Saccharomyces cerevisiae S288C: one gene and its partners. The protein of the gene in region 1 binds, or shares a complex with, the protein of each later gene. Each region holds a gene or a part of one and is shown in the gene's direction. Other genes may lie near its edges. The genes, in order: MRPL17, MRPL36, MRP20 and MRPL22.

Evidence for each region.
Region 2: MRPL17 (region 1) and MRPL36 share a complex: the UniProt entries of both Saccharomyces cerevisiae proteins name them as parts of the mitochondrial large ribosomal subunit.
Region 3: MRPL17 (region 1) and MRP20 share a complex: the UniProt entries of both Saccharomyces cerevisiae proteins name them as parts of the mitochondrial large ribosomal subunit.
Region 4: MRPL17 (region 1) and MRPL22 share a complex: the UniProt entries of both Saccharomyces cerevisiae proteins name them as parts of the mitochondrial large ribosomal subunit.

What each region holds. Positions count from the first base shown.
Region 1 is NC_001146.8:166,871-175,023, reverse strand, and holds MRPL17 (mitochondrial 54S ribosomal protein mL46 MRPL17), read left to right. Parts: upstream 1-2,737; coding exon 2,738-3,583; downstream 3,584-8,153. Other genes in the region: Nrd1 complex RNA-binding subunit, read left to right, coding at 709-2,436; TEX1 (Tex1p), read right to left, coding at 3,738-5,006; RTC4 (Rtc4p), read left to right, coding at 5,776-6,981; mRNA-binding translational activator GIS2, read left to right, coding at 7,234-7,695; trifunctional dihydropteroate synthetase/dihydrohydroxymethylpterin pyrophosphokinase/dihydroneopterin aldolase FOL1, read right to left, coding at 7,927-8,153. UniProt on the Saccharomyces cerevisiae protein: Component of the mitochondrial ribosome (mitoribosome), a dedicated translation machinery responsible for the synthesis of mitochondrial genome-encoded proteins, including at least some of the essential transmembrane subunits of the mitochondrial respiratory chain.
Region 2 is NC_001134.8:478,658-486,402, reverse strand, and holds MRPL36 (mitochondrial 54S ribosomal protein bL31m MRPL36), read left to right. Parts: upstream 1-1,899; coding exon 1,900-2,433; downstream 2,434-7,745. Other genes in the region: transcription factor TFIIIC subunit TFC1, read left to right, coding at 1-1,661; GRS1 (glycine--tRNA ligase), read left to right, coding at 3,036-5,039; CBP6 (Cbp6p), read left to right, coding at 5,480-5,968; MUD1 (Mud1p), read right to left, coding at 6,080-6,968, 7,058-7,065; TEF2 (translation elongation factor EF-1 alpha), read right to left, coding at 7,356-7,745. UniProt on the Saccharomyces cerevisiae protein: Component of the mitochondrial ribosome (mitoribosome), a dedicated translation machinery responsible for the synthesis of mitochondrial genome-encoded proteins, including at least some of the essential transmembrane subunits of the mitochondrial respiratory chain.
Region 3 is NC_001136.10:1,272,790-1,280,742, forward strand, and holds MRP20 (mitochondrial 54S ribosomal protein uL23m MRP20), read left to right. Parts: upstream 1-4,856; coding exon 4,857-5,648; downstream 5,649-7,953. Other genes in the region: DIT2 (putative cytochrome P450), read right to left, coding at 1-914; DIT1 (Dit1p), read left to right, coding at 1,813-3,423; DNA-directed RNA polymerase II subunit RPB7, read right to left, coding at 3,865-4,380; ATP-binding cassette multidrug transporter PDR15, read left to right, coding at 6,421-7,953. UniProt on the Saccharomyces cerevisiae protein: Component of the mitochondrial ribosome (mitoribosome), a dedicated translation machinery responsible for the synthesis of mitochondrial genome-encoded proteins, including at least some of the essential transmembrane subunits of the mitochondrial respiratory chain.
Region 4 is NC_001146.8:301,083-309,122, reverse strand, and holds MRPL22 (mitochondrial 54S ribosomal protein uL22m MRPL22), read left to right. Parts: upstream 1-4,507; coding exon 4,508-5,437; downstream 5,438-8,040. Other genes in the region: MDG1 (Mdg1p), read left to right, coding at 1-166; NOP13 (Nop13p), read left to right, coding at 511-1,722; TDA7 (Tda7p), read left to right, coding at 2,143-4,053; 40S ribosomal protein uS3 RPS3, read right to left, coding at 5,721-6,443. UniProt on the Saccharomyces cerevisiae protein: Component of the mitochondrial ribosome (mitoribosome), a dedicated translation machinery responsible for the synthesis of mitochondrial genome-encoded proteins, including at least some of the essential transmembrane subunits of the mitochondrial respiratory chain.

The sequences.
Region 1 (8,153 bases):
TTCTTGTTTCAATGAATAGCACCAGAAACGCAAAAAATCTACAATTAGTTTATGGTCGAAATGAGCTACTGCGCACGTATAGCGCATTGTTTCCTATTCTACTAAAGTCCGCAATACATAATTCTATCGAGTACTCAAAAACATTATGCTTTTGATGGCTTGTTAGATATCCTTATGACCACTAACCTGAAATTGAGCAAATTCATTGGAAAGTCGGCGGCAAAAATAAATGTTTCGTCTTTGGTGATTTATTGGTCATTACATACGGTACATTTTTGATTTTTTTTTTTGCCACCGGTCGGAGCGGAGGAGGTGAAAAAGAAAAAGTATAAAAGGGCAAGTGTTTCGTCCTTCCTCCATGTTCCATTCCTCGTTAGCATGACTCCCCGCTCCTTCCCTTTACGAGTTTCATGCTTTTAACATATCAAAAGTCAGTACTCGGCAACCTTATTGTATCGTTTTCGTATCGTATCGCATCGTATTATCGTATTGTACACAACTAACTCACCAATCAAGGCTCTTCTTACAATTAGTTACGTTACCGTATCCATTGCTACAACCTATAATTTCAAGCAAAAGAAAAATATACTATTGTCTATTTTTTTGTATTGTAGTTTTCTCTGATTACACATTTTTTCTAGTACTTTTCTCCAAGCACGAGTTACAGGAAAGGAACCGGAAAGCAACAAACATACTAAACATCCCATAATGCAGCAGGACGACGATTTTCAAAATTTTGTAGCTACCTTGGAATCATTCAAAGATTTGAAATCTGGTATTTCAGGTTCTCGTATTAAGAAACTAACCACTTACGCACTTGATCACATTGATATTGAATCGAAAATCATATCTTTGATAATAGACTACTCAAGACTTTGTCCCGATTCTCATAAATTAGGTTCTTTATATATCATCGATTCAATAGGTAGAGCTTACTTGGATGAAACAAGATCAAATTCAAACAGCAGCAGCAACAAACCCGGTACTTGTGCCCATGCCATAAACACGTTGGGCGAAGTAATTCAAGAACTGCTATCCGATGCTATTGCAAAAAGTAATCAAGACCACAAGGAAAAAATTCGTATGCTTTTAGACATTTGGGACAGGTCCGGCTTGTTTCAAAAGAGTTACTTGAACGCCATCAGGTCAAAATGCTTTGCTATGGACATATCGAATAACACCGCGAACACCGCTTCACAACAACTATCACTGGATCCCAAGCAGAGGTCGAAACAAATCTTGTCAAATCTAAAGAAAAGTCCTCCTTTAAACTTGAACATAAGTCTTCCAACTGATTTGACTTCCACAGATCCAGCCAAACAGCAAGCAGCTCTTTTCCAAGTAATAGCGGCTCTGCAGAAACATTTTAAAACTTTGCCTTCACATACATCCGTGGGTACAGTCGCACCTCCCCAAGCCCATACAATTACCGAATATGGTAGCAGACGTGAACGTGAACGTGAAAGAGAAAGATATAACTCAAGAAGGAATAGATCAAGATCTCCTCCGGCACCATTTTCTCAGCCATCGACAGGCAGGAAGGACCGCTATCCATCTGTGGCCCAGGACCAATACAGCATAGGCGCCCCCAATACGACATTTGGCACAAACAATCACCACTTATACCCCGATGAGCTTAATGTTTCCAATAATCCTCATTATAGACCAAAACCAGTAAGTTACGACTCTACATTGCCACCAGATCATATTAAAGTCTACAGCCGTACTCTTTTCATCGGTGGGGTACCACTAAACATGAAGGAATGGGACCTTGCTAACGTTTTAAAACCTTTTGCTGAAGTACAAAGCGTCATTCTGAATAACTCCAGAAAACACGCTTTTGTGAAAGTTTATTCAAGACATGAGGCCGAAAATGTTTTGCAAAACTTCAATAAAGATGGAGCCCTGCCATTGAGAACTAGGTGGGGAGTTGGTTTTGGTCCAAGAGATTGTTGTGACTATCAACACGGTTACAGTATTATTCCTATGCACAGGCTCACGGACGCTGATAAAAAATGGTCAGTAAGTGCGCAATGGGGTGGCACTTCTGGTCAACCTCTCGTTACCGGTATTGTTTTCGAAGAACCGGATATTATCGTTGGTGAAGGTGTTTCTTCCAAGGCAATATCTCAAAAGATGCCTACTGATTCTGGCAGAAATGGGCCACGTTCTGGTAAACCTAACAAATCTGGTAGCATATCGTCGATATCTCCAGTACCCTACGGCAATGCACCATTGGCATCTCCTCCACCACAGCAATATGTGCAACCTATGATGCAGCAACCGTATGGTTATGCCCCCAACCAACCATTACCTTCTCAGGGACCTGCCGCAGCGGCTCCCCCTGTACCTCAGCAACAATTTGACCCCACTGCTCAATTGAATTCTTTGATGAATATGCTTAACCAACAGCAGCAGCAACAACAACAAAGCTAAGATCTTTACTCCACCCTTTATTTGCTCATAGTACATAAAACTAATCTACCTCTATATATAATTTCTGTTTTTTCCTATGTTCCTTTTTTTTTTTTGTTAAATGGACATCCTTATGTATTCACATAACTACTGTGTTTCAAATGTAGCATTATCCTATTCTTTATTCTCTTTTTTTACCGTATTCCTGGTTTTTTTTCAAGGTTTAGATGAAAATGAAAATGAAAAAAAAAAAAGGAAAGAAAACAGTTAAACAATCAATAAACTTTATATTCTACGTAATCATAAGCGCTTATCCAGTACCATGAAGGTAAATTTAATGTTGAAAAGAGGGCTTGCTACTGCAACTGCAACTGCCAGTTCCGCTCCCCCCAAGATTAAAGTCGGAGTACTACTGTCAAGAATCCCTATAATTAAATCAGAATTAAATGAACTAGAGAAAAAATACTATGAGTACCAATCAGAACTAGAAAAGAGACTAATGTGGACGTTTCCGGCATATTTTTATTTCAAAAAGGGTACTGTAGCAGAACACAAATTTCTATCCCTGCAGAAAGGACCTATCTCCAAAAAAAATGGCATTTGGTTTCCTAGAGGCATACCGGACATTAAACATGGCAGAGAAAGAAGTACTAAGCAAGAAGTTAAACTTTCTGATGACAGTACAGTAGCATTTAGCAACAATCAAAAAGAGCAAAGCAAAGACGATGTTAATAGGCCCGTGATTCCCAACGACAGGATAACGGAAGCAGATAGGTCAAATGATATGAAGAGCCTTGAAAGACAATTGAGCAGGACCTTATATCTTTTGGTTAAGGATAAAAGCGGTACTTGGAAATTCCCTAACTTCGATCTTTCTGATGAATCTAAGCCGTTACACGTACACGCAGAGAACGAATTGAAATTGTTGAGCGGTGATCAGATATACACTTGGTCTGTTTCTGCTACGCCCATAGGTGTTTTGCAGGACGAGAGAAATAGGACTGCTGAGTTTATTGTGAAGTCACACATTTTGGCTGGAAAATTTGATTTGGTGGCGTCGAAAAATGATGCATTCGAGGATTTTGCTTGGCTGACAAAAGGTGAGATCAGTGAATATGTACCAAAAGATTACTTTAACAAAACAGAATTTCTTTTAGCGGATAATTGAAATCACAAAAACAGATGCGTTTTTAACGTTACATATACAAAATATATGCGTGCATATATATTTATATATTAGGTTGTCGTCAATCACATGTAAATATCATTAAATGAAAGAAAAAGAATGTGCATTTTCTACCGCATTCCTTCCATCAGGTAACTTATTTTTTTGAGTTGAATCTACTCGGCCTATCCTTGCCAATCCTATCAGTATTCTTACTCGTCCTTTTATTGTGGTTGTTGCCTCCACCGTTGTTTTTCCTACGTTTTTCAATCATCGTGTTATCGAACATGTCTTTCCAATAAGTTATTAGATTTTTTTCGTTTTTAACAAAATGATTTGATAGTGTGTCATTCTTGCCTGACATGATATACCATGATTTATCAGGATAAAACTTCAAAACGGGATCGGTTTTGTAATTGGCTAAAGATTTAGAGTGGAGTAAATTACCACTATTAAGATCATAGAAATATACCATTTCATCTTCTGTACAAATTCCTAGTATTTTACCCAAATGACAGACGTCTAGTGTTGTTACCGCAGAGTTCAAATCGTTAATTATTAATTCACAACATAGTGACTTCATATTCCATACGTAGCAATTCCCATCGATACTCCCAGTAATGAAGTTTCTTCCCCATGGGTCCATTTTGATCTCGGTTATAGGACCAGTATGTGCTTTAATTTTGGTACAAACCTCCAATATGCCATGTTTTGCTTTTAAAATGGCCAAATAACCACTCTTAAAGCCAATAAATATATGACTTCCACCATTGCTCCATGCTAAGGAATACACAACGTCATTATCCTCTTGGCTTATATCGCTGATGTTCAAAGAACAGACAGAGCTGTGATCCTTTTTCACATCAAACAAGTAGATTTTCTCAGATTTGGTGGCAGCTAATAACCAGTTTCCTAATGGATCATAAAGACATGTGTTGACCTTAGTCTTGCTTCCCAATGACAAGGTCCTTAATTTGGATGCCGTTAGCGATTTTTCGTTGATTAAGAGTAAGGATATCTCTGATGAATTGCTCACGACAGCTATTTGATTTAAAGAAGTAGGGTTCCAGGACAAATCAGTAGCCAATTTATCGGAACCACAACAGTCTGGAATATAAACTTCTACAGATTTGTCAAAACTTGCATCTTTAATAAACCAAACGGTCAATGACCCATCCATTCTACTATACGCCATCGATGAACCTGATACGTGAAATTTTAGGGAAAGAATTTCATTTGGAGTTATGGGAGTCGAGGTGAATCTTGAATGAGAACGCGAACTGACATGAATGAACCTTTTATCTTCGATATGACTTGTATTACCTTTAGAAAACGTACTTTGTAGATATTTTGAAGTCACTGAGGCAGCCACTTCAGAAGTTATGGTCTTTTGATTAAGAATATCAACAGCTCCAATTGTCGACATGCCGAATAGTTCACTTGATCCTTTTTATGTATGTAGCTGTACACCAATCAAACCTCAATGAGTGAAGCTTTGTACGTAGAAATACTGAAGAGATATATATTTAACATAATATCTTATGTACGTAACCTGTGGTGCAAGGCTTTTAATTTTCTTAATTCTACTATGAATAATGATAAGTTAGGCAAGACACCTATACATGGTTAGTGGCGTCGTTGGGGTGTAAAAATGAATTGTCCATGCTCGGTTACTGTTTTATACAACGGTACAATAATTTAACGTTTTGTTTCTTCCGTCATCATATCCAGTGGGAAAGGTGTATTTCTAGAAAATAATGTTAACCTTCAAGGTTATGCTTTGCGATATTTGACACTTTCCAAAGAAACATGGGCACTGTTAATATACCTTCAAGTCTACATACATATATATAAACTGCATTTGGCTATCTATCGAACGTAAGCAGGAAAAAAATGGCAATTCGATTGAAAATCCAAAACCCTTTATGATACTGAAGACAACTCCAGTAATTGAATAGGTATGGAATAGTAATTCTCTGAAAACTCCCTTGAAAATTGGGAGGCAATGATACTCCTATTTGTGCTGCATCTCAATTGTTGTGGTAAATAGCGTCCTAAACTTTTTTTTTTTCCTATATATAGATGGCGTCGCTAAAATGGGAAGCTTTGAAAAATGTAGCGATGAGATCACATTAAAAGGGTACTGTATGTGCTCTCGAGACCTTAGCACAAATTTTTGACCTGCGTAGACAGAGATGGTTGGGCCTGGTCTGGGAATTAATCGAGTGAGGAGAAAAGGTGTTTATTCCACAAAAAAGGGAAGTGGTGATAACTTACTGTTAATGAAAAGACAAGGAAAACATGACATACATGATAGAGAAAGTGACGACTTATCAGGCCATGATGCCTTTTCCCCCTCAAAAAAGCGCGGCAAAATAGACAGTATCACAGAAGATGAGATTGAAGTAAAAAAGCTTTCCACTGTGGCCACATTTGATAAACTTTCGAGGTCATTTCCAAATTCAGAAGTACAAGCCGCAAAGAATGCAGCACTCAGAGGAAAAGAAAAAGAAGAAGAGAAGGTCGTTTCTATCCCACTAATACAGAATTTGAAAAATGAAGATATCGAGTCTATCAAATGCAGGAACAATAATCTTTTAGACGGTAAAAAATTACTCTTGGAGGCAGAACTATCGGCAGTTGAAGATAACCAAATCTTCTCCTCTTCATTTCCCGAGGATAAAAAGCTATCGTTACAAAGTTGTTTGAGTTCTAAAGAGCAGATAATCAAAAAACTTCAAGTAAGGGAAGAATACATGAGCAAGTTCAAACTACCACCCATGTTGTTTTCGGATGAGCTACTCACTGAAGTAGAACCCTTCATGCCCATTGTAATGGACATATTGGAGGGAAAGATATCGTCTGTATACTATTTTGAAGCAAAAAATGCATTCAAAAACTCACAAAAGGCTTACTTGTCCGTAGATGAGTTTAGAAAGTTGAATTTAAACAAATTTACTGCTGGATTTTACGGCCTGAAAAGGCAATTGAGGGTTGGCGAAGAAATCGCTAAGAGATATAAAAGGGCACTCACGCACAATCAGCCCGCAACCTTAAAATGGTGGGGGATAACAGATTTCTGTAACTACGTTTTGGCTCCAGAAACCCTTACGTCTTTTTGTATTTACCAATTAAATCTCTCGAATAAATCTTGCTCGTCGAAGACACCGAATAAACATCCAAAGCAACAATTAAACGAGAAGGAATATTACTACGATCCCGAATTAAGGATGCTAGCCTATGACTTACTCGAGGATACAGTTGAATACGGTATCATAGTAGCCGACTCTGATCCAATTGAGCAATGGGAAGCTGCCATAGAGGAAGACCGTCTGCGGGAACTGAAACTCGATGTTCATAACTATTCCAGCAGGAGATGGCGACTGGATACGCACGATTAAACAGGTAGTATATTGCCGTTTGTTGCCTTTATGGCTTAGGGATTTGAGCTTTATAGTAAGAACTGCTGTGGTGTCATGATAGACGAAATGCTGAAAAAATTTTCTTTTCGTTCCTTTTCTCTTTTGGCAAGAGTTGTAATAAGGTCATCGATGGATTAGAAATGCTCTTTCTGCTTTGGGGGCACTTGAGGATTGTATTATTTTAAGGCTTTCCCTTCAGAAATCAGGAAAAAAGAAAAGAATACGAAAAAGATGTCTCAAAAAGCTTGTTACGTTTGCGGTAAGATTGGCCATTTGGCAGAAGACTGTGATTCTGAAAGACTATGTTACAACTGTAACAAACCCGGTCACGTTCAAACGGATTGTACCATGCCAAGAACAGTTGAATTCAAGCAATGTTACAATTGTGGTGAAACCGGTCACGTTAGAAGTGAATGTACTGTGCAACGTTGTTTCAACTGTAACCAAACCGGCCACATCTCCAGAGAATGCCCTGAACCAAAGAAGACCAGCAGATTCTCCAAAGTTTCATGTTATAAATGTGGTGGTCCAAACCATATGGCTAAGGACTGTATGAAAGAGGACGGAATTAGTGGATTGAAATGTTACACTTGTGGTCAAGCTGGCCACATGTCCAGGGACTGTCAAAATGACAGGCTTTGTTACAACTGTAACGAAACTGGCCATATTTCCAAGGATTGTCCAAAGGCTTAGGTGAAACATCCACTGAAAAAAACAAAGGAACAATCACTTATCATGCTATATTTCATAGAGGGGAAAAAAGAAGCACAAGTAAACTGAATATTTAAGTTTATTTTCTATATCTTTTCTATACTTCATTTCACTTGTTTCCTCCCTTGGTTATTTTTAACGATTCTTTATTATGAAACAGGAAAAAAAATTATTACAAAACAGAATTACATATTTAATCTATATAACTAACCTTTATTCCAAACCTTTATAAATAGCATCTGCTAATTTAATGCTCTTCGAACAATTTTTAACGTCATGGACCCTAACCATGTCGCTGCCGAAACCAATACACGACGCTACCACCGCTCCAGTAGCAAAGTCTCTTTGCTTCGCATCCACATCTTTTGTGATATGTCCAATGAATTTTTTGCGCGATGGACCCAATAAAACGGGCATATTTCTGAGGTTAACATACACTT
Region 2 (7,745 bases), on another chromosome or scaffold:
ATTTTAATGAGCATCCTGTAATTGGTAAAAGAGTTCCCTTCAGAGATGAGTCGGTCATATTAAAGGTTACAATGCCTAAGGGAACTTTAAGTAAAAATAATAATAGCGTCAAAGATTCTATCAAATCCTTAAAAGATTCGAATAAATTGAGAGTCACTCCTGTTTCCATAGTAGATAACACTATAAAATTTAGAGAAATGTCAGATTTTCAAATCAAACTGGATAATGTCCCCTCTGCAAGAGAGTTCAAAAGTAGCTTTGGCTCTCTGGAATGGAATAATTTCAAAAGTTTTGTCAATTCTGTACCAGATAATGACTCTCAACCTCAGGAAAACATCGGGAATTTGATCTTAGACCGTAGCGTTAAAATTCCGAGTACAGATTTCCAACTGCCGCCACCTCCTAAGTTATCAATGGTTGGTTTCCCCCTGCTTTATAAATATAAAGCTAATCCATTTGCGAAAAAAAAAAAAAACGGTGTCACAGAAGTGAAGGGAACATATATCAAAAACTATCAGTTGTTTGTTCATGATCTTAGTGATAAGACAGTTATACCGTCCCAAGCTCATGAACAAGTCCTGTACGATTTTGAGGTCGCGAAGAAAACAAAAGTCTATCCAGGCACTAAAAGTGACTCTAAATTTTATGAATCGCTGGAGGAATGCTTGAAAATTTTGAGAGAGCTCTTCGCTAGACGTCCAATTTGGGTTAAAAGACATCTTGATGGGATTGTCCCGAAGAAGATACACCATACTATGAAGATAGCGCTGGCACTCATATCTTATCGTTTCACAATGGGGCCTTGGAGAAATACATATATCAAATTTGGTATAGACCCCAGAAGTTCAGTGGAATACGCCCAATATCAAACAGAATATTTTAAGATTGAAAGGAAATTACTATCTTCTCCCATAGTGAAAAAGAATGTACCAAAGCCACCACCCCTGGTATTCGAATCAGACACTCCAGGCGGTATTGACAGCAGGTTCAAATTTGATGGAAAAAGAATACCGTGGTACCTGATGTTGCAGATTGATTTATTAATTGGTGAGCCAAACATTGCAGAAGTTTTTCACAACGTCGAATATTTAGATAAGGCGAATGAACTAACTGGATGGTTCAAAGAATTAGACTTGGTCAAGATAAGAAGGATAGTAAAATACGAACTTGGTTGCATGGTTCAAGGAAATTATGAGTATAATAAATACAAGTTGAAGTATTTCAAGACAATGTTATTTGTTAAAGAATCCATGGTACCCGAAAACAAGAACTCAGAAGAGGGAATGGGTGTTAACACCAATAAAGATGCTGATGGGGACATAAATATGGATGCAGGTAGTCAAATGTCCTCAAATGCCATAGAGGAGGATAAGGGTATCGCTGCTGGTGATGATTTTGATGATAATGGCGCCATAACTGAAGAGCCAGACGACGCTGCTTTGGAAAATGAAGAGATGGACACTGATCAGAACTTGAAGGTGCCTGCAAGTATAGACGATGACGTGGATGACGTTGATGCAGATGAAGAAGAACAAGAAAGTTTTGATGTTAAAACAGCGAGCTTCCAAGATATCATAAATAAAATAGCTAAACTAGATCCTAAAACCGCGGAAACAATGAAAAGCGAGCTCAAGGGATTTGTTGATGAAGTCGATCTGTAATAAGTAGGTTTTCTTTTATTTCAATATCAAAATATGCCAAATGTGCAATAAAACCATAACTACGTATGTGATATTTCTGAGTTTTGTCCCCAAACCGTAAAGAGCGATTATCTCGTGCAAAATGCATCAAAATCAAATAACTAAAATGAAAGGGTATCATTATTATTCCTAAAAGTTAAGAATGCCTCCAGAAAGAACGGGTACCAACGCAAACGAACACACGTTTTGTTCACTCCTAATGTTGAAGTCTATATTTGCGAAGCGATTTGCTTCCACAGGGTCATATCCTGGTTCTACAAGAATTACTTTGCCAAGAAGGCCTGCAAAAAAAATTCAACTGGGGAAGTCACGACCGGCTATTTATCACCAATTCAATGTCAAAATGGAGTTGAGTGATGGAAGTGTAGTTATCCGGAGATCCCAATATCCAAAGGGTGAAATTAGATTAATTCAAGACCAGAGAAATAATCCGCTGTGGAATCCTAGCAGGGATGACCTAGTCGTTGTGGATGCTAATTCTGGTGGTAGCTTGGACAGATTTAACAAGAGGTATAGCTCTTTGTTTTCTGTCGATTCAACGACCCCAAATTCAAGCTCTGAAACAGTTGAACTATCTGAAGAAAATAAAAAGAAAACACAGATTAAAAAGGAGGAGAAGGAAGACGTTTCTGAAAAAGCGTTCGGTATGGATGACTATCTATCTCTGTTAGACGATAGTGAACAACAGATCAAATCAGGTAAGTTGGCCAGTAAGAAGAGAGACAAGAAGTGAATAGTGTTTGCTCCCCTTACTTTTCTATTCTCGAACCAATTTATATTCCTTTTGGGACATAGATCTCAATCGCATCTGTTTGAAGACTACATAAACAGCCTTGTATATACCGCAACATATACACATACGTCTACATATGTATATATTGACAACGAAGATTCTGCGAACGCTTGGTTTGGCGCTATCGCGATAGATTAAGTGCAACAAGACACACATTTACAAACATAATATGAACCAGATATGATTCATGGATTATCGAGGCAAATGGTCTGTGAATGAAGCTCACTTACGCTGCAATAAGCAGCAACGGCATTGTAGTGATCATTTTCTACGCCTCGTAATATTTCAGCGCAGTGGAAAAAAATTGAAAATTTTTACTCTTCTCGAGTGTTGAATCACTGCTGCGATACTTATCACGTACTTTGTATACATAATTTTACTTGCAATTAGGACTCGAAATCTGTTCAATTACTTTTGAGGATTTCTTTTATTTTAGTTTCCCTTTTTGCATTCGTGTTGATTTTCAAGAAAAATTGTCGTTCTTCAATATCAGTAGACGATTTTACTCTCAGATTGTTAAAAAATCGGTTAAGATTAAAAGAATGAGTGTAGAAGATATCAAGAAGGCTAGAGCCGCTGTTCCATTTAACAGAGAACAGCTAGAAAGTGTTTTGAGAGGAAGATTTTTTTATGCCCCAGCTTTTGACTTGTACGGTGGGGTTTCTGGTTTATATGACTATGGTCCACCAGGTTGTGCATTCCAAAACAACATCATTGACGCCTGGAGAAAGCATTTTATTTTGGAAGAAGATATGTTGGAAGTTGATTGTACTATGTTAACTCCATATGAGGTTTTGAAGACCTCAGGTCATGTTGACAAATTTTCTGATTGGATGTGTAGAGATTTGAAGACTGGTGAGATTTTCAGAGCTGACCATTTAGTCGAAGAAGTTTTGGAAGCTCGCTTAAAGGGTGACCAAGAAGCCAGAGGTTTAGTCGAGGATGCTAATGCCGCTGCTAAGGACGATGCCGAAAAGAAGAAGAGAAAGAAAAAAGTTAAACAAATTAAAGCAGTCAAATTGGATGACGACGTTGTCAAAGAATATGAAGAAATTTTGGCTAAAATAGATGGTTATTCCGGCCCAGAATTAGGTGAATTGATGGAAAAATACGATATCGGTAACCCAGTCACCGGAGAAACTTTAGAATCTCCAAGGGCTTTTAACCTGATGTTTGAAACGGCTATTGGCCCATCTGGTCAATTAAAGGGTTACTTGAGGCCAGAAACTGCCCAAGGTCAATTCTTGAATTTTAACAAGTTGTTAGAATTTAACAACAGTAAGACCCCTTTTGCCTCAGCCTCTATCGGTAAATCATTTAGAAATGAGATTTCCCCAAGGGCCGGTTTATTAAGAGTCCGTGAATTTTTGATGGCAGAGATTGAACATTTCGTTGACCCATTGGACAAATCTCATCCAAAATTTAATGAAATCAAAGACATCAAGCTTTCCTTTTTGCCTCGTGATGTTCAAGAAGCTGGTTCTACTGAACCAATTGTCAAGACAGTTGGTGAAGCAGTTGCTTCAAGAATGGTCGATAATGAAACTTTGGGTTACTTTATTGCCAGAATTTACCAATTTTTGATGAAAATTGGTGTTGATGAGTCCAAATTGAGATTCCGTCAACATATGGCTAATGAAATGGCACATTATGCTGCTGACTGTTGGGATGGTGAATTGAAGACATCTTACGGGTGGATTGAATGTGTCGGATGTGCTGATAGATCTGCCTATGATTTGACCGTTCATTCCAAAAAGACCAAAGAAAAATTGGTTGTTAGACAAAAATTAGATAATCCAATTGAAGTCACCAAGTGGGAAATTGATTTGACGAAAAAATTGTTCGGTCCAAAATTCAGAAAAGATGCACCAAAAGTTGAATCTCATCTATTGAATATGTCTCAAGATGACTTGGCTTCCAAGGCTGAGTTATTGAAGGCAAATGGCAAGTTTACTATAAAGGTTGATGGTGTTGATGGCGAAGTCGAGTTGGACGATAAATTGGTTAAAATCGAACAAAGAACAAAGGTTGAACACGTTAGAGAATATGTTCCTAGTGTCATTGAACCATCTTTCGGTATTGGCCGTATCATCTACTCCGTTTTTGAGCACTCTTTCTGGAACAGACCAGAAGACAATGCCAGAAGTGTTCTTTCCTTCCCACCTTTGGTTGCTCCAACAAAGGTTCTTTTAGTTCCTTTATCTAACCACAAAGATTTAGTTCCTGTTACTACTGAAGTCGCCAAAATCTTAAGAAAGTCTCAAATCCCATTTAAGATTGATGATTCTGGAGTTTCCATTGGTAAAAGATATGCCCGTAATGACGAATTAGGTACTCCATTCGGTGTCACCATTGACTTTGAATCTGCCAAAGACCATTCTGTCACTTTGAGAGAAAGAGATTCCACCAAGCAAGTTAGAGGTTCCGTCGAAAATGTCATCAAGGCTATCCGCGATATCACTTACAATGGTGCTTCTTGGGAAGAAGGTACCAAGGATTTGACTCCTTTTATTGCCCAAGCTGAAGCTGAAGCTGAAACTGACTAAATAAATGACTTAATTTTAACTATATATCGCCAAACATGTAAATTAAAAAAAGAAGCGAGAAGTATATACATGTGTGTATGAATAAATAATTCGTTTACTATTGATACGTATTGCAAGATATGATTATGTACTGTCCACTAATACGATTATTTTGGAAGTTTATAAAAGAAGTGCGGAAATCACATCTGCTGTTTATTTAGCCATTCCTCACACTAATAGTTAAAGTACTTTCATAGCAGCTCTGCGCATGGTCGGACATGCGAAAAATTCTGATATCAAGAAAAAGCGAAATATTTCCGGCCTTGTAGGGGCCAAAACATTAACGTATATCAAGATTTCCTGTGGTAGCAACATTATAAGAAAAAAAGGTAGCCTTCATTGAAACATTCTCTCTATCAGCTTACCAAGTTAAACTCCGTATTCCACAAGCAAGTGCCAAAATGTCTTCTTCCCAGGTCGTCAGGGATTCTGCCAAAAAATTAGTTAATTTACTGGAAAAATATCCAAAGGATCGTATACACCACTTGGTCTCATTCAGGGATGTACAAATAGCAAGATTTAGACGTGTAGCGGGTCTGCCAAATGTAGATGACAAAGGAAAATCTATAAAAGAGAAAAAACCCTCATTAGATGAAATAAAAAGTATAATTAACAGAACTTCCGGTCCATTAGGACTGAATAAGGAGATGTTAACCAAAATTCAAAATAAAATGGTAGATGAGAAATTCACGGAAGAAAGCATCAACGAGCAAATTCGTGCCTTGAGCACTATAATGAATAATAAATTCAGAAACTATTACGATATTGGCGATAAGCTCTATAAACCTGCAGGAAATCCCCAATATTATCAACGGTTAATAAATGCCGTTGACGGTAAGAAAAAGGAAAGCTTATTTACTGCAATGAGAACTGTATTATTTGGTAAATAAAGAGCACATTATTTTCTAAGCTTGTAAATACATATTTATTCATAATGGAGAACGTTATTCAAATTTATCTGTGAATTTCTTTACTCGAGGTATACTTCCGCAAAGGAAATTCTACTTAGCAAATCCTATGGTAACGTCATTGTTTTGTAGCTTGTAAGTGGAGCCTAACTGATTCTTGATTTTCGTAGCATCAGCAACGGTCTCGTATTCCACGAAAGCTAGGTTACGAACGCTAACTAATCTGATTTCAACTAAAGCCTCATTGCCAAGTATTTGCGACAATAATTGCTCGGTAGTGCCGCTTGGCAAATTTTGTATAAGAAGGACTTTGTTCGGTGGATTTTCCATTGTATTGGACACTTTAGCCCGCTTAAGAGGTTTCTGCGATTGTTTTAGATTTTCTTGCTGAGACTTCATGTTTTCCAATCTACGGGTTTCAAATTCTTTTACAATCCTATCAATCTCAGCCTCCTCTACCTTTCTTGATCTCAGCTTATGCTTCAGGCGTCTTATTTGCCTTTTAAGCCTGAACTTTTTGGCGCATATATCATCACTACGTAACTTGCGTTTAAGTTTCCTTGCTTTAAGCACCTTCTTTATATCAAGGTTGTACGTTTCGTCATTACCTTTTTTTTTTTGCATTTCTATTGAAAGACCCAATAACGAATTTGTTCGAGCCTTTCCCATTCTCACTTTACGACCTTGAACTTTTAATGCTGTTGTCGTGTATTTTTCTAGAAACCGGTCTGCTTCTTCTTGAGTGACAAACGTTAAAAATGCTTGGTTAGTCATCTTTGATGATCTTGAAATAGAAACTTCAAGAAGGCCCATTTGATCATCTAGTAACATCAGCGGTTGTGATGATATTTGTAATTTATTGTGGGGAAGGGGTAGCGACGGATTAATGGCATACTTGTTGTTGGGATTAATGTGTTTCAGAAGTAATCTGGTATAATTTTCTTTATTTGCTGGCCTACTGGGTAAATTTTGAAAGTACAGTCTGTTTTTATTGGTCATAGAGTATAGAATAATGAAAACGTTAGTAGAAAGAAGATTTAAGGAAACGTAAATTACAAGGTATATACATACGCTGACATGGTTTCTTTAGGTTTGATGAGGCCGTCTTTTGTTGATAGCAGCTTTTTCCATTTTTTTTTTTTTTGTTTCGAGTAACGTATGGTTTAGTATCTGTCTTCTCCTTCTCTTACAAAAAAACCCTTTGTAAAATAGTGCCGAGTTGGAGGACATCAATCTGATGGGCAAGAAAACACCAACCCCCCCTATATGAAAAGAAAATGATAAGCAGATAGATAAAAATACTTAATTAACTAATACATAAAAATAAGAGGTATATAAAAATATTATATGGAAGCAATAATTATTACTCTTATTTCTTAGCAGCCTTTTGAGCAGCCTTGGTAACCTTAGCGGCCTTTTCAGTCTTGTCAACAGACTTGATAACACCGACAGCGACAGTTTGTCTCATGTCTCTGACAGCGAATCTACCTAATGGTGGGTATTCACTGAAAGCTTCAACACACATTGGCTTAGATGGAACGAACTTGACCAAAGCAGCGTCACCGGACTTCAAGAACTTTGGATGGTCTTCCAACTTCTTACCAGATCTTCTGTCGTTCTTTTCCAACAATTCGTCGAATCTACAAGCAATGTGAGCAGTGTGACAATCCAAAACTGGAGAGTAACCAGCAGAGATTTGACCTGGATGGTTCAAAACAATGACGGTAGCGTTGAAAGAAGCGCAACCCTTTGGTGGATC
Region 3 (7,953 bases), on another chromosome or scaffold:
GAACTATTAAATAGCAACTGCGGGTTTTCATGGCCAGCGACAAGGATAATGACGATATTATCGGTCAACTGTTTGTAGTCGATTATTTCGTTATTGTGAGCACGAATTAGATCACTGGCAGCAAAAGTAGTTTGTTCAAATTTGTAATTATTGACTAATTCATCTTGAACTCTTTTAACGAGAAGTTCTCTAAAACTAACAACATCCTTGAAGGCTTTTTTTCTTGAAGGAATAGGAAGAACATCAAGGAATGGAAAAGTTAAAAAGAATGGATGAAATATTTGCTTTTTAATACGAATCAAATGCTCGTGGAAAGCATTTTTTTCATGTGTTAGAGCACCAAAATCAAATCCAAGGGCAACCTGTGAAATGTTATCCAATGCCATTCTCTGGGATAAAGGTCCCATAGGGATCGAAGTTTGTCCTTCTAGGAGTCTGTTTTTTATCAAAGTGCATAAAATTTTTGCATTTTTGAATATAGGTGCATCGTCAAAATGTTGGAGCCCGTTTGTCACAGCATTTCTGTAGTTTCTCCAAACTGCACCATACGCGCTAATGACATTGTCCCCTGTGTAAGCGGCAAGAGCACTGTATGGGATTTTCTTTTGATTACCGCTCTTCGCAAAAGTATCTTCATCTTTGAATATTTGTGCTAGATACTCAGAACGAGAAACGAGAATATTCCACCGTGAACCAAAGAAAAATTTTACAGCACCGTATTTTTCCATTGATTCCCTAATATAAAGATCGTATAGCTCCGTTTGATCAATGGGAAATATTACTGGTAAAAATACTACATAAAATGGGATGGTGGGTATATTTTTGGGAAAGTTTAGAGGTGGGACAATGATTGCAAAGGCGACATAGGAAAGAGTAAGAAATAAAATCAAACACAGAAGCTTTAACAACTCCATTTTTAATGCTTTTTTCGATTTATTCTCTTAGTCTGAATCAAATACCATTTTGAAAAAACGAAAATATTTCAAGAAAATTAATGTATTTTTTTGCACTACCTAATATACTATTCGCATCAGGATGACCAGTCATTCCTCTTGTGGTCCGTGGCTTGTAATTTTCGGGAAAGATAGAAATCACTGCATTCATCGAAAGAAGTGAAAATAAATTGTATCGGGGAAGTAATGAGGGGTGGAATACGTAATTGCTTCTCAATTTGATAATACAAGTTACAGTCTTTTTATTGAGAGTCCCTGGAAGGAAAATTATTGATGTTTACCTTTTTTTGCGACGCGCGTCTGGCCATAAATAAAAGGGTTCTCTTGCCAAGAAAAAATAAAAAGGCGCCTTAAGGGACCTTCTATGACAAATATGGTGAGGTATGCAACCTCAATGAAGAGCAATGAGAAAATTTAAGGGGTAAGTAAGCATCGGAATTTGTTGTTTCCTAACAATTTGTCTAATTTACTCAATAATATCAGGAGAATTGATCGAAAAAAGCAAACCAGGAACCCCTCACAAATAAGGGAACATAAAGTAATTGCTCGTCTTTACATACATGGCACTCAATCCCAGACGTCGCGTGCTAAAAATCCTTATATTATTGGCCCCTCAGGAGTTTATTTGAATTTTGATTGCATTGCTTTCAGTGGACAGTATATCATAAAATTTGCAAGGGCATAGTGCCTGCCCTACGATGTTGTAAAACAATTTCTGAAAATAGGTTCAGAATCAAAAATGATGTATAAATATTGAAATAAATTTTCACATAAATTGTGCTCCTCCGCAAAGTCTTGACTAAATAAACAATTTGTTAATATCCTAATTCGGTAAAGCTTTGTCGAGACATTAACAAAAATGACATTTACTAGCAACTTGCCCTCAAGCTCCGAGCAGTCAATATCACCACCTGCCTCTTCATTTTCTTCATCGACTGATACGTTGAAAGATATTGATATTCCCCATAATGGGGCCGATTTGTCTACATATAGTAAATTTCTGGCCCTGTATTGCAGAAGCGACAAATGTGACGATTTTTACTCTTTAGAGGAAAAACAGAATTGTAAATTTGGAGACCAATGGCTCGACTTTATCAACACTATTCACAATCTGGACTTTTCTGAATCCGAAGTAAGTGGACGGGTTTCTGAAAGAATTTTGCCAGCTTCTTTAGCAAATAAATTTACCAATAATTTAGGAGTGGCAATAAAGATTTCTGAATATACACGCGATGACGAACGCCAGATTCGTGGGTGTGTTACAACAGTTGAGAATGAAAATTCTTTCAATAACTGGTTCGTATATCATATTTTAGACCAATCTCAATTATCTCTAAGTGAACATCCAATTGTAACCAAAGAAGTTAAGTATCACGAATTATTTGCAGATTTTTTTGAGAAAAATTTGAAAAACACAATAGTTAATGATCAATGGAATTTTGGTGGCCGTGATTATTTTATTGAACGTTCAAGATATTTTACCGATCGATATTTGAGAATTGAATGCATCTTGCCAGCGTTTCCATGTAAGTCATCTAATGAGCAAAAAGTGTACGGTTCCGTTCCTGACAAAGGCGAAGAACTCGCTTTGAAAAGATTAATAAAAGCCACACAAGACCTTGTCAAGATATATCCACCGGGTATGAAAATTTGGATAGTTAGTGATGGCCATGTTTTCTCCGATTGTATTGGGGTCGATGATGACGTCGTGAGTACTTACACGACCAAATTGCACGAACTGTATAAAAGAGTGGCTATACCTGGTGTTGACGCCATTGGCTTTTGTGGATTGAACGATTTATTTTTTAGCGGTGCAGCTAGTAAAGTTTTCGATCCAAAGTGGGTTAGTGATGTTGAAGTTGCACACTACACAGGAACTCAAATCTGTCCTAAGTCCGATTTGTCGAGACAGATTTTGATGAAAGGCTGTGATACAGATGCAGGTCGTTTGAGAAAGCAGATTGCAATAGAAGGACATCCAAGATTGCATCTGTATAGGGGCTTTTCACGTTTTATGATGGAAGATTTATCTCTACTGGAACATTTCCAAAGTTATTCCAGAAAAAAATTCAAGAAAATCATTTCAATGATCGCTTTTAACATGATTAAGAGAAATGACGCGTATTCGAACTTAGTGGAATTGATATTCCCTCATCATTTGAGAATTTCTATTCATGCGCACACTAACAGCGGGCCCAAATTTGGTATAAAAGTAATCTCCAACGAACAGTGTTCTATTGTTAGTTCGTTAGAAGACCTTGATGAACCCAAATTTGAAGATTTTTTACATATTCCCACACCTTGGCATAATTGTGTCGTGAAGGTTGAGGATGAAAAGGAGAAATACTTTTTGACAAAATCAAAAGTAGTCAAGGAGGCTCTCGAAAAGGGTATGTATGATGGTGTATGGAAAGATACTCGTTTCGATATTGGAGAAGGAGGACATTTCGTTATCAAGAAAATCTCTTAATAAAGTAAGAGCGCTACATTGGTCTACCTTTTTGTTCTTTTACTTAAACATTAGTTAGTTCGTTTTCTTTTTCTCATTTTTTTATGTTTCCCCCCCAAAGTTCTGATTTTATAATATTTTATTTCACACAATTCCATTTAACAGAGGGGGAATAGATTCTTTAGCTTAGAAAATTAGTGATCAATATATATTTGCCTTTCTTTTCATCTTTTCAGTGATATTAATGGTTTCGAGACACTGCAATGGCCCTAGTTGTCTAAGAGGATAGATGTTACTGTCAAAGATGATATTTTGAATTTCAATTGACGTAATTAATGATACTATTAATAATACAGAGCGTATATGAAGTATTGCAAATAACATGCACAGTTCTTTTGGGATGAGAATGATAATGAAAGGCGAAGGCGGGCGTTCAGAAAAGCGTTGCGGAGTAACAAGTGATTAAATAGCACCCAAATAATCTTCTTTGATACTACCGATTGCGTGAATAGAACTCACTTGACTGATACAACCTTCAATTTTAACTCTAATTCTACTTTTTATGGTGATGACATCCTCGGAACTTTGGTATGATGGTGGGTTTGAACCCGCATTAAAGGTTAAATCTTGAGGCATCAGATGCTTTGTCACAAATACTTTCATTGGACCTACTTGCACTTCGAACCCGTGCTGAGAACATGAAACGACTGTGCCGTCCACTACTTCCCCTTTAAATGGTTTGAAAACTACAGCTCTATATTTCACGTTGAACTCGGCGGACCCATCTGTGGGCAATATTCTCCCACGTTGAATATCTATATTATCATAGTCTAGGACACAAAGAATATATCCGAATTTACCCGTACACGAACCTTCAACCTCTTCCAATAGTTTTGTCTTTAGATATTGCTTCATTCGAGGACCGAAAAAGGACGGATGAAGGGTAATATTAAGCGAAAGGTCTTTAATAAAAAACATTCTCAGAAATTGAGTTATTTATACAGTGGTTGAAATGTGAATCTATTCTTGGACTTTCCCACTGTCTAATCGCAAAGGAGAATGGTGTAGGAGGAGAAACGGAAAAAGAAAGGCTATGATATTCTGGGAGAAGAGATAGGTGGACAGACCTGATCGACCCAATGTTAGAGAATAAATCGACGAAGTGAGCTTGTCTACGTTATTGGCATTTTCACTGGGATATAGGAATACCGCATTTATTTTCCTTGTATTTTTCAAAATAGCCGTTGAAACCCACAGAAGATCACTTAATACGTAATCGCGTTATACGAATTTTCTCGATGAAAAAGGGAAAACGATGGTATTAGAACTTGAAATGTACATACATTTCTTGTGGAGAACGTAACGCTACTAACAAATAATGTGCTTTGATTAGCAGGCTCCAACAGAAAAAAAAATAAAATAAAAATAAAAAGTACGCAACACCAACACAGAATATGCCACGATTGACGGTTGGAACGAAGAATATGTTGTATCCTTTGCAAAAAACACTTGCAGTAGGAAGTTGCAAGCCAGAGCAGGTTCCAATAAGATCACTAGCCTCAGTGGTGGAGAGTTCCTCCAAAATACTCGACAAAAGCGGCAGCGATCGCGAAGTAGATATAAACGTAAGCGAGAAGATTTATAAGTGGACAAAGGCGGGCATAGAGCAGGGAAAGGAGCATTTCAAAGTTGGAGGTAACAAAGTCTACTTTCCCAAGGCCAGGATCATCCTCTTGAGGCCCAACGCGAAGCACACACCGTATCAAGCAAAATTCATCGTCCCAAAATCGTTCAACAAACTGGATCTCAGAGACTATCTTTATCATATCTACGGCTTAAGAGCAATGAACATTACGACGCAGCTGCTTCATGGGAAGTTTAACCGTATGAACCTACAGACGACGCGGTTTAGAGAACCGCAGATCAAGAAAATGACTATCGAGATGGAAGAACCCTTCATTTGGCCCGAAGAACCCCGTCCGGACGAAAACTCCTTCTGGGACAGCACCACGCCTGACAACATGGAAAAGTACCGTGAAGAAAGACTTAACTGCTTGGGCTCAGACGCCAACAAACCCGGCACAGCATTCGACGGAGTCGTGGGGCCTTACGAACGGGTGGCCCAGCCTTTTATACCTCGCTTCTTAAAACGAGAGATAGACAATAAGCGAGAGCGTCACGCCGCCGAACTGCAGCGCGCAGATAAACTAATTGCCCTGAACAGGTACATAGAAGATCTACATTAGAAGGTTTCCCATTCCACCCCTTCGTTAACCCACACGCAAATACCCAGATAAGCATCTTGCACCCCTCACACTTGTATATACGGAGCAAACTACATAATCTCTAAACAGAAAAAAAAAAAAAGAAAGAAAATTAAGAACATTACTTTTTCCGAGCAACAAACGCAAAAATATATGAAGTGGCTGTAGAACATGCCTTACGGAAGAAAAGAATGATGATGGCATCCCCTTCCCCTGCCCTGGAAGGTGGCCTGTATTTCTGTTCTTTTTTTATTTTTGTTCGCGCAAAGAGCAAGAACATTGGTTGCTTTACTTATTATTTTCAGGGTCGCTTCCGCGGGATGCCATGCACGGATGCCTGCGGAGACAGTGGCGCGGAGCCGTCCGCATGCTCGTTCCGCGGAGAGTCTCGAGCGGGTCCGCGAGGGGCGGATCTGCAACGCACGGTGCCGGGGTTAAGGTATGGCACGATGGTAAGACGATGAGGGAAAAGAATACTGCTACTGCTGTGCGAGACTTTGGTAGTAGGGATCGGAAAGGGAGCATGTACATCTGAGGAATATATAAGCAGGAGCTCTCTACCTGGACCAAATTGCCTTCTTATGTTGCTGTAAAGAGATTTGCTAGTCTTGTTGTAGATACGTCATATGCAGTATTCAAGTATACTACTGTTAAGAACATCACATCACTAATACTATTAGCGTATAACAGTTACTATACGAATATATAAACACACACACACACAAGCAAACACACTTATAATTATCAAAAACCTATGTCATCAGATATCAGAGACGTAGAGGAACGAAATTCGCGGAGCTCGAGCTCAAGCTCGAGCTCGAACTCTGCCGCCCAATCCATTGGACAGCATCCATACCGCGGTTTCGACAGCGAAGCCGCGGAAAGGGTGCATGAGTTGGCTAGAACACTCACATCGCAGAGTTTACTATACACTGCTAACTCAAACAATAGCTCTTCCAGCAACCATAATGCGCACAATGCGGACTCGAGATCCGTATTTTCTACGGACATGGAAGGTGTGAACCCGGTGTTCACTAACCCGGACACCCCGGGATACAATCCCAAATTGGACCCTAACAGTGATCAATTCTCCAGTACGGCGTGGGTACAGAACATGGCAAATATTTGTACTTCGGACCCGGATTTCTATAAACCATACTCACTCGGTTGTGTATGGAAGAATCTAAGCGCCTCCGGAGACTCCGCCGATGTGTCATACCAGTCAACTTTCGCTAACATCGTACCAAAGCTGCTTACGAAAGGGCTCAGATTACTGAAGCCCAGTAAAGAAGAGGACACTTTTCAGATCCTGAAACCCATGGATGGTTGTCTTAATCCCGGTGAACTGTTGGTTGTTCTTGGGAGACCAGGGTCAGGTTGTACTACGCTGCTAAAATCCATATCTTCTAATTCGCACGGGTTCAAGATCGCAAAAGACTCCATTGTCTCTTACAACGGTTTGTCAAGCTCGGATATCAGGAAACATTACCGTGGTGAAGTCGTTTACAATGCGGAATCAGATATTCATTTACCGCATCTTACCGTGTACCAGACGCTTTTCACCGTGGCAAGGATGAAAACGCCGCAAAATCGTATCAAGGGTGTTGATAGAGAAGCGTACGCCAATCACGTGACAGAAGTTGCAATGGCCACATATGGTCTTTCGCATACAAGGGACACCAAGGTCGGAAACGATCTAGTCAGAGGTGTTTCTGGTGGTGAAAGAAAGCGTGTATCCATTGCGGAAGTCGCAATCTGCGGCGCCAGATTTCAATGTTGGGATAATGCCACCAGAGGTTTGGACTCTGCTACTGCTTTAGAATTCATCCGTGCTTTAAAAACCCAGGCTGACATTGGAAAGACCGCGGCTACTGTGGCCATCTATCAATGTTCTCAGGATGCTTATGATCTTTTTGATAAGGTCTGTGTCCTGGATGATGGTTACCAGCTTTATTTTGGGCCCGCTAAGGATGCAAAGAAATATTTCCAAGACATGGGCTACTATTGTCCTCCCAGACAGACCACTGCAGATTTTTTAACTTCAATTACAAGTCCTACTGAAAGAATTATTAGCAAAGAATTTATCGAAAAAGGTACTAGAGTGCCTCAAACGCCAAAGGATATGGCCGAATATTGGCTACAATCAGAAAGCTACAAAAATTTAATCAAGGATATAGACTCTACATTAGAGAAAAACACAGATGAAGCACGCAATATTATCAGGGATGCTCACCACGCTAAACAGGCAAAAAGGGCACCACCTTCCTCTCCATACGTTGTCAACTAC
Region 4 (8,040 bases), 130 kb from region 1:
GACGAAACAGGGCGCTCCTACCGCTGCCGCAAAAAAAATCGAAGCTAAGAAAGCTACTAGACCTTCGAAACCTAAGGGCACGAAAGAAACACCAAATAAAGGTGTCCAAAAGAACCCTGCTAAGAATGGAGGGTTCTTTAAAAAGTTGGCCCAGCTTTTGAAGTGAAAACAATCAGGAGAATACCTAAATATATGACGTACTCGCCATACCTAACTATGTAAAACCTAATTATGTATTAATAACAATACCATGTTGTATGTAAACTCTGATGTAGGATCGCACTTTTGCCGAAAGCACATGCTTGTCTTTGTATTTCGCTTGTACGCCTTTGCTCAGAAAATTCTGTAGGAGTCACGTTTCCCGTTGAAATGCAAAAACCTGAAATTTTTCAGTCTGAAAGAAAAAATTGCGATGAGCATAGATGATAAATTTAACCATACAACAAAGAGAAATCCTTTTCCCCACAGAACATTACCTAAACCCAACAACTTTCTATAATTTGAGATAGAATGTCAGAAACAGAACTGTCGAAAGAAGATGCTGTTACAAAAAAGGATAACGAGGAACAAGTCAAGAAGGCTTTACTCGATCCAACAAAAAAGAGAAAAGCTGAAGATGAAATTGAGATTGACCTGAAAAGCTCCATTCCCCTATCAAAAAAACAGAAACGTCTCTTGAGAAGAGGTAAAGTTACTCTAGAGGAGTTGAATGCGAAGTACAATATCGACCCTAAGTCAATCGAGGAATACAAAGAAGATGCTGAAAAGAAAAAGTCTGGTGCTTCTGAGAAAGACGCCCAGGGTGAAGAATCTACAATCAACACTCCAACAGGAGATGAATCTGGCGAGGTTGTAAAAAAGAAGAAGAAAGATGAAAATAAATATGGTGTTTGGATTGGTAACTTATCCTTCGACACCACAAAGGACGATTTAGTAAGATTTTTTATTGCTAAAACAAAAGACAACGAAGATGAAAAGAGCAGAGTCACCGAACAAGACATAACCAGGTTATCCATGCCTCGTGTTGCTGCCAAGAACTCTAACGCCATGAAAAATAAGGGATTTTGCTACATGTTTTTCAAGAACGTCGAGCAGATGAAAGCGGTCTTAGAATTATCTGAATCTCATTTAAACGGAAGGAATATGCTAATCAAGGACTCCGAAAATTATTCAGGTAGGCCAGACAAGGACGATTTAGTTGCCATGTCCAAAAATCCACCGTCAAGGATTCTATTTGTCGGTAATTTGTCATTCGATGTCACAGATGATCTGTTAAGAAAACACTTCCAACATTGTGGTGATATCGTGAAAATCCGCATGGCAACATTCGAAGATAGTGGTAAATGTAAAGGATTCGCATTTATCGACTTCAAGAATGAAGAAGGATCTACTAATGCATTAAAGGATAAAAGTTGTAGAAAAATTGCCGGAAGGCCATTGCGAATGGAATACGGTGAAGATAGAAGTAAAAGACAAGTTCGTAAGAAGGTTGAAAATGTATCCAGAAACAATTCCTCATCATTTGATATCTCTAACAACAAAGGATACGATCGTGCGGGACAGGATAACGGCAGCAAACCCGAATACAAGCGGTCCAACGCCAACAGACGTCCACCTGTAGATTCCAATAACCGAACTAAGAGCAGTGTAGCTTTAGCCACTGCTCAGAGAGGTTCTGCAGCTATTGTCCCATCACAAGGTAAGAAAGTGAAGTTTGACTAATCAGCGTGAACTGACTGTAGGTGCCACGTATATAATGCGATTATTTCGCTTGTAAATTATTCAATCATTCATGTTTTATATATACATTGTATAACCAATTGCTGCTATTTTTATTTTTTCCATTATTGCTTATCAAGGCACGGGGAGAACGCACGGAAAAAAAAAAAAAAAAGAAGAAAGAAATGAGGTAAACAAGATCTTTAGGAGCGGTTCGCATATTAGTAATACACTGATAATCGCCGTACACTCATAAAATCCTAAACTACTCACCAGGTACCGAAACACTACTGATCCGTTTTTTGGACTGGTTGTTGGCACACTTTCGCTTAAGACACACATTTAGTATTTCAATCCCCATCCGTCGATATCTGAAGGAAATCTAAAAGAAAAGCTGGATAGAGTAATTATTTTGGCCATCGTATGAACTCCAATAGTACCATCGGAAGGACCACCCTTGGAGAATCTGATACGATATCCCTGTCATTCAGTGAACCAAGTAGCAGTCTGAATTCACGATCAACGGATGTTGTCTTCGCATCTACTTCAACTTTAGTACCCCAACAAGGAAGTCTGACCTCATTACCGCCCGTGTCTAGTACAGCTACTCCTACATATTATTCTACAAGCTTAACATATGATGAGACTTTGCATACATCCATTGATGTATCTTCGACAAGTACTTTAGTATCATCTACCGACAGCAGTTCATCGAGCGAGCAAGATACGTATAGTTCCCAATATGACCCAGCTACCTCCTCATACTCAATAATTACACCATCCATGTCCATTTTCTCATCGACGTCACCAATGTCATCATCGTCGTCAATAACGTCGGAATGGTCATCGTTAACATCAACAACACCAACGTTATCGTCATCAGCTACATCGCTGTCATCATCATGGTCGTCGTTATCATCACCATCTTCGTTACTGGTATCGTCCTCGTTGTCATTATCACTATCTTCATCATATTCAGACACTAAATTGTTTTCGTTCGACAGCAGATCTTCTATTTTCTCACCATCAACACCCACCGTAATATCCCCTAGTTACACATACTTGTCTTCCATATCTGCAACTTCATTTCAAATTAGTACCACTTCAGAACTCTCTTCTAGTTGGTTCTCAACAATTTCTTCTCCTTCTACGATATCAAATAAAGATACCACATTCCCAAGTTCCAGTCGGAATACTTCCACATCGTTTTACAGTTCATCGCTTTCATCGACGAACGATTTTTCAACCATAAGCAAATCATCGAAACTCAGTCCATCAGCTTCATCTTCGACAGTTTCCATAAGCACGATTTCCGTGCCAACGTCAAGTTCTGTTAGCTCATCCAGCAGTAAAGTACCTTCAAACCGTCCTTCATCATCATCATCATCAGATGATACAACAAGTGCTTACTCAAGCACGTATACTTTTCAGTCCTTACAATCTACTACTAGCAGCAGTATACCACCCACCACTCAAACACCCAGCACTAGTACGATTTCTACGTCTCCCATACCAACATCCAGTCAGGTCTTCAATACGGTAGCCATTTCAAGCTCCGAAGATTCAAAAACTATTTATTATTTCTATACCCAAACATATGATATTACTGACTCCTCTACAACGTTCGTGACGGGATTACCTACGACCATAGCAGTTGCAAAAAGTGAGGTAACCTCATTTTCCGCTCCATCTTCGACGATCACAGCTGACATGTCTTTCTATCAGCACTGGCTTGATGGCAGTTTGGATAATAACAAAAACCAAGGCACTTCAAAGACAAATACTGGTACCATTGTTGGAAGTGTGGTAGGAAGCGTCGGTGGTATTCTTATATGTGTACTAGTAGTTTGGTTCATGCTGGTTAGAAAAAGGAAGGCAAAGAGGCATTTCAAGGAAAACGATTCCTTCTGTCACGAGATTGGGCGCAGAACGGGATTCCCAACAACTGCCCAAGCAAAAGAGGCGTCACTTCAAGCTCAAGACTCGGGATCACAGCAACGAAACACCGAGACTGCTTCTGCTAATAATCCGTTCAGCAACGAATTCAATTTTAAGGCAAGAGGAAATCCTCCTCCAGTGCCACCACCAAGGAATGTTACCGCAATGAATGGCTCCTTTCAAAATATGCGGAGTAATTTCATGGACCAGGAAAACAGATTTTCCTATGGCTCTTCATTTACATATTCGTCATTGGGTTCATCTACTCAAGGTGGCTTTTCTACTTTATCTTCAAATTCGATACGACTCGGACGTGGTTTAGATAATGACATCTCTCATGATGAGAGAAATACAGTTCAGAACAATTCACAAGGGTTCTTGAGGGAAATTATATGACGATGACTTCAGTCTATTAGTATGATGTTTACTAATTAAGCAAAATCAGCTCTTGCTGAATAACACTACTATTAAAAATCATAAAAACATCTTTATTGCCAATAGTGAAGAACGACAAGGCCTTTTAAAAGGCATAAAAAACAATGATACCATTCTGCAATGAAAAAAAAAGAAAACTTTGTTCTTTGTGTATAAAGAAAATATTTTAGTTCTCCTAAATAAATAAATACTAAATTATACGAAACTCTTTCAGTCTTTTCTCCTGCTTGCTGCTTGAACAGTACTCATGATATTCTATTAATCTTCTGTGGGCGGGGTAACTAAGCCTTCACTGTACTCGGGATTTTGAATAAAAGTCAACTATCCAATCTGGAAGGCATTTTAACATACGCCATTAGGAGCCGCATAGCAAGTCAGAGAACCTCACCTCACCCTATCTTTTTTATTAAAGAAAATGAACTTCCACACGGCAAGAATATCTCAGGTCGGTGTCATTTCTAGGGCTCTACTTTCTTCTGTAAGTAGACGTTGGATTCATGTAACGCCAATAAGTCTTAATAATTCAGGAGGATCACTATTCGGAAGCATTACAGAAAATAAACCAAAGGAAGGAAAAAACAGGGGGGATGAAGATGCAGGCAGCTTCTCTAATAGGTTAGCGATTGCTTCTGATTCTTCTGGAGAGGCTCCTGAAGTTAATAGGGATTCAATAACCATAGAAAACGATAAACTACTACAGCAACATATCATATCGTTGCAGCAACCGGAACAATTAGCATCACAGAGCTTATTATCTCCTTTGAAAAGGGAAATATATGAAGCTAATTGTAAAATTAATGGTGGGTTTTACAAGAAAGATACTATTGTAAAGTTACCAAATTCTAGCGAACGTTACAAGCTAAAGTTAACAAAAAGAGAAATTGAAGTACTAGAACCTTCCGTATATGCTCAGTCATATAGAATTAAATCGTCGATGAAAAAGGCTACACTTTTGTTGAGGTTATTGGGAGGCCTCGACGTTATGAAAGCTATATCTCAGTGTCACTTTTCTAATAAGAAAATTGCTCGCGAAGTAGCAGAACTACTTCAAAAAGGTGTAAAAGATGGCCAAAAATTAGGTTTGAAACCAGAGGACTTATATATCTCTCAGATTTGGACAGGGAGTGACGGGTTTTGGAGAAAACGTGTTGAATTCAAGGCAAGGACAAGAATCGGAATCATAAGTCATCCTTACATACATGTCAGATGTATTCTGAGAACAAAGAGTGTTACGAAACGAAGACTTGCTTATGAAGCACATTTAAAAGAGCAAAAAAGAGCGCCATGGGTACAGTTGGGAGATAAGCCCATTAGGGGTGTTACAGGCGGCGTATACAAGTGGTGAAAACGATAGCGAACTCATTCATATCCGAGAAATCGTCCTGTAAGCTGAGAAAGATGAACTGCTACTCACTTCTTAACCTATATTCACAGTTGTGTTGTACAAAACTTTTCTTTTGATTATATAATATTGTGATTCTGTAAATAACAACTAGTTTCAACGCACTGCTTCAACGTGCACCCTCCTGACTAAACACGGCAATATGCAAGAAACCGCAACAATTAAGTGCACTAGAATAGAAGAAATTATTGTACTTATAGTTTATTTATGTATTTAATAATTAAATCTAAGCTTCAACTGGTTCAGCTTGAGCTTCAGTTTCTTCAGCTGGTCTGTAGTCCTTGACAGATGGAGCAAGAATTGGTTCTTCTTCTTTTGGTTCAATGATGGTGACAGCATCTGGCAAAGCCTTTGGACCAGTTCTGCTCTTAGCTGGGTCTCTCATAATCTTAACCTTGATACCCAAAACACCTTGTCTCATCAAGACGTGTCTAGTAGCAGTGTCAATGAAGTCGTTGACTGGTTGACCAGAGTGAATCAAGAAACCGTCAGCAAATTTCATAGCCTTAGCTCTGGCAGCTCTTAGTTTACCGGAAACAACAACTTCACAACCCTTAGCACCAGATTCCATAACGTATCTGACGACACCGTAAGCAGCTCTTCTGATAGCCAAACCGTTCAACAATTTGAATTTCATAGATTCAGCTTGAGCGACAGCGGACAAACCACGGTCTTGAACTCTTTCAGCATATAAGACAATAGTACCTGGAGCGTACTTGAATCTCTTTTGAACCAACAAAGTTAATTCGTTGATTCTTCTACCGTTTTCACCCAAAACATCTTGAGTTCTGGTAGCTCTGATGATAACTTCGGTCTTGGTTGGAGTGACACGGACTTCAACACCGGAGTAACCTTCTTCAGCTAATTCTCTGGTGAAGAATTCGTTCAATTCAGCGTAGAAGACACCGTCAGCGACTAGCTTTCTTTTCTTAGAGATTAAAGCGACCATTTTTGTAGTTTGTTTGCTGTTTTATTTTCAGTTATCAAAACAATGTTCAAAAACTAATCTAACAATATCTACAAACTAGAAATTGCTTAAAATGTATGAAAAATGCTGTTGTATTTCAAAGAGCTGCATTGATTTGGAAAATTTACCACTGCCCATGGGAGAAAGGCTCGCGGCGCCTCATCTCAAGAAAAGAAAATGTTTTTTTCATAAAAAAAACAAACTTTACAGCAAGAATATTATACAGGAAAGGTATGGATGTTACGGAAACAAAAAACAGTCTCATTTAATCATGAGGAATTAGATTATTCCAAAGGAACATGAAAAGAAGTGAAATCAAGAAAAAAAAACAAGAGAATTTACCGGCGGCCAAAAATACTAACGTAATCCCGTTGACGTTTACGCATGCAGTGTTGTAGGCTCACCAGCAATTATGTTAGTTGAGATGTAACTGCTTCGCGTGAACACTACGTAAATGTTATTGTGTGGAACTGACGTGGACCTTTTCTGTGTTGCTTTTAGTATAACGATATCCATCCTTTTACTTGGATTTTCAAGGTATGTTGACCCTCAATAGTTTGAGCCAGCACGATGGCAGGCCCTTAGGCAAATCAAAAGCATCATGCGGCGGAGGATTTATCATCGTGATGTCATTTAGGATAACGCTATGCATCTTATGCCTGCTGCCAGACCGCGAATTTTTATTTTTTTTATGGTCTGCTTCTGGATCATGCGGGCCGGCCTTCTAAGACATTGACTACGCAGCCTTTCATGTACAATTTTACATTTGCCTGAGGATTGTTTGTCAGGTGTCGCGGCCACAATTCTCCGATTTTCTTCCTGCCATGTCCTGCTGCTTACATCAGCGCAGCACGTGAAAAAAAAGAGGAGGACTTTTGAGGATGGTTGAGTTTTTCTTTTAATCGTTTTGTTTCTTTATTGTTTTTATTTTTACGACATTTTCCCCTCGAAGAATATTTATCCGAAATCTCCTCAAACAAGACATAAATCAAGATGCAAATGGTGGTAGATAGAGAAAGCAACTAAAAAATGTCAAACAAGCGTCCTTATTTCATTCTACAGCGGTTAATTTCAAATACCCTAATCGGAGGTCTTATCTTATTTTTCAAGGGCAAGGCTCTCCACATCGGTAAGTGATGACCAGATAATGGAAAGTAGCAGAATTTTATTTATGTGCCATACAAGCCCGGAGAAACAGAGTAGCTAAAAAATTAAGGTGTGCAAAAGTGGTTTTGTTCCCCGACGCCCGGGCCTTTCTCTCCCCTGAATCTTTTCGTTCCGGCCCCCCTCTCTCAATACCAGATCTGCATCTATACTAAAGCTGCAGTGAGAGTAAACCGGAAAATTATCCTGCGTGTTTGCTTCGGTCTTAGCTTTTACTTGGGTATGCGAGAACCTCTAAGAGCTTAGACCGGTCTTCCTCCCTAAAAAGAAAATTATAAAAGGTTATTATCTGGACTAAAGCAAAAAAAAAACAACGTTTCGGCGTCCGCTCAAAATTTTCATTACGCTTCTTGGTCAAATCAGTTACGTAACGGGTTATGACGAATACGATGAGATGAGTAATTGCAGAAGGCTC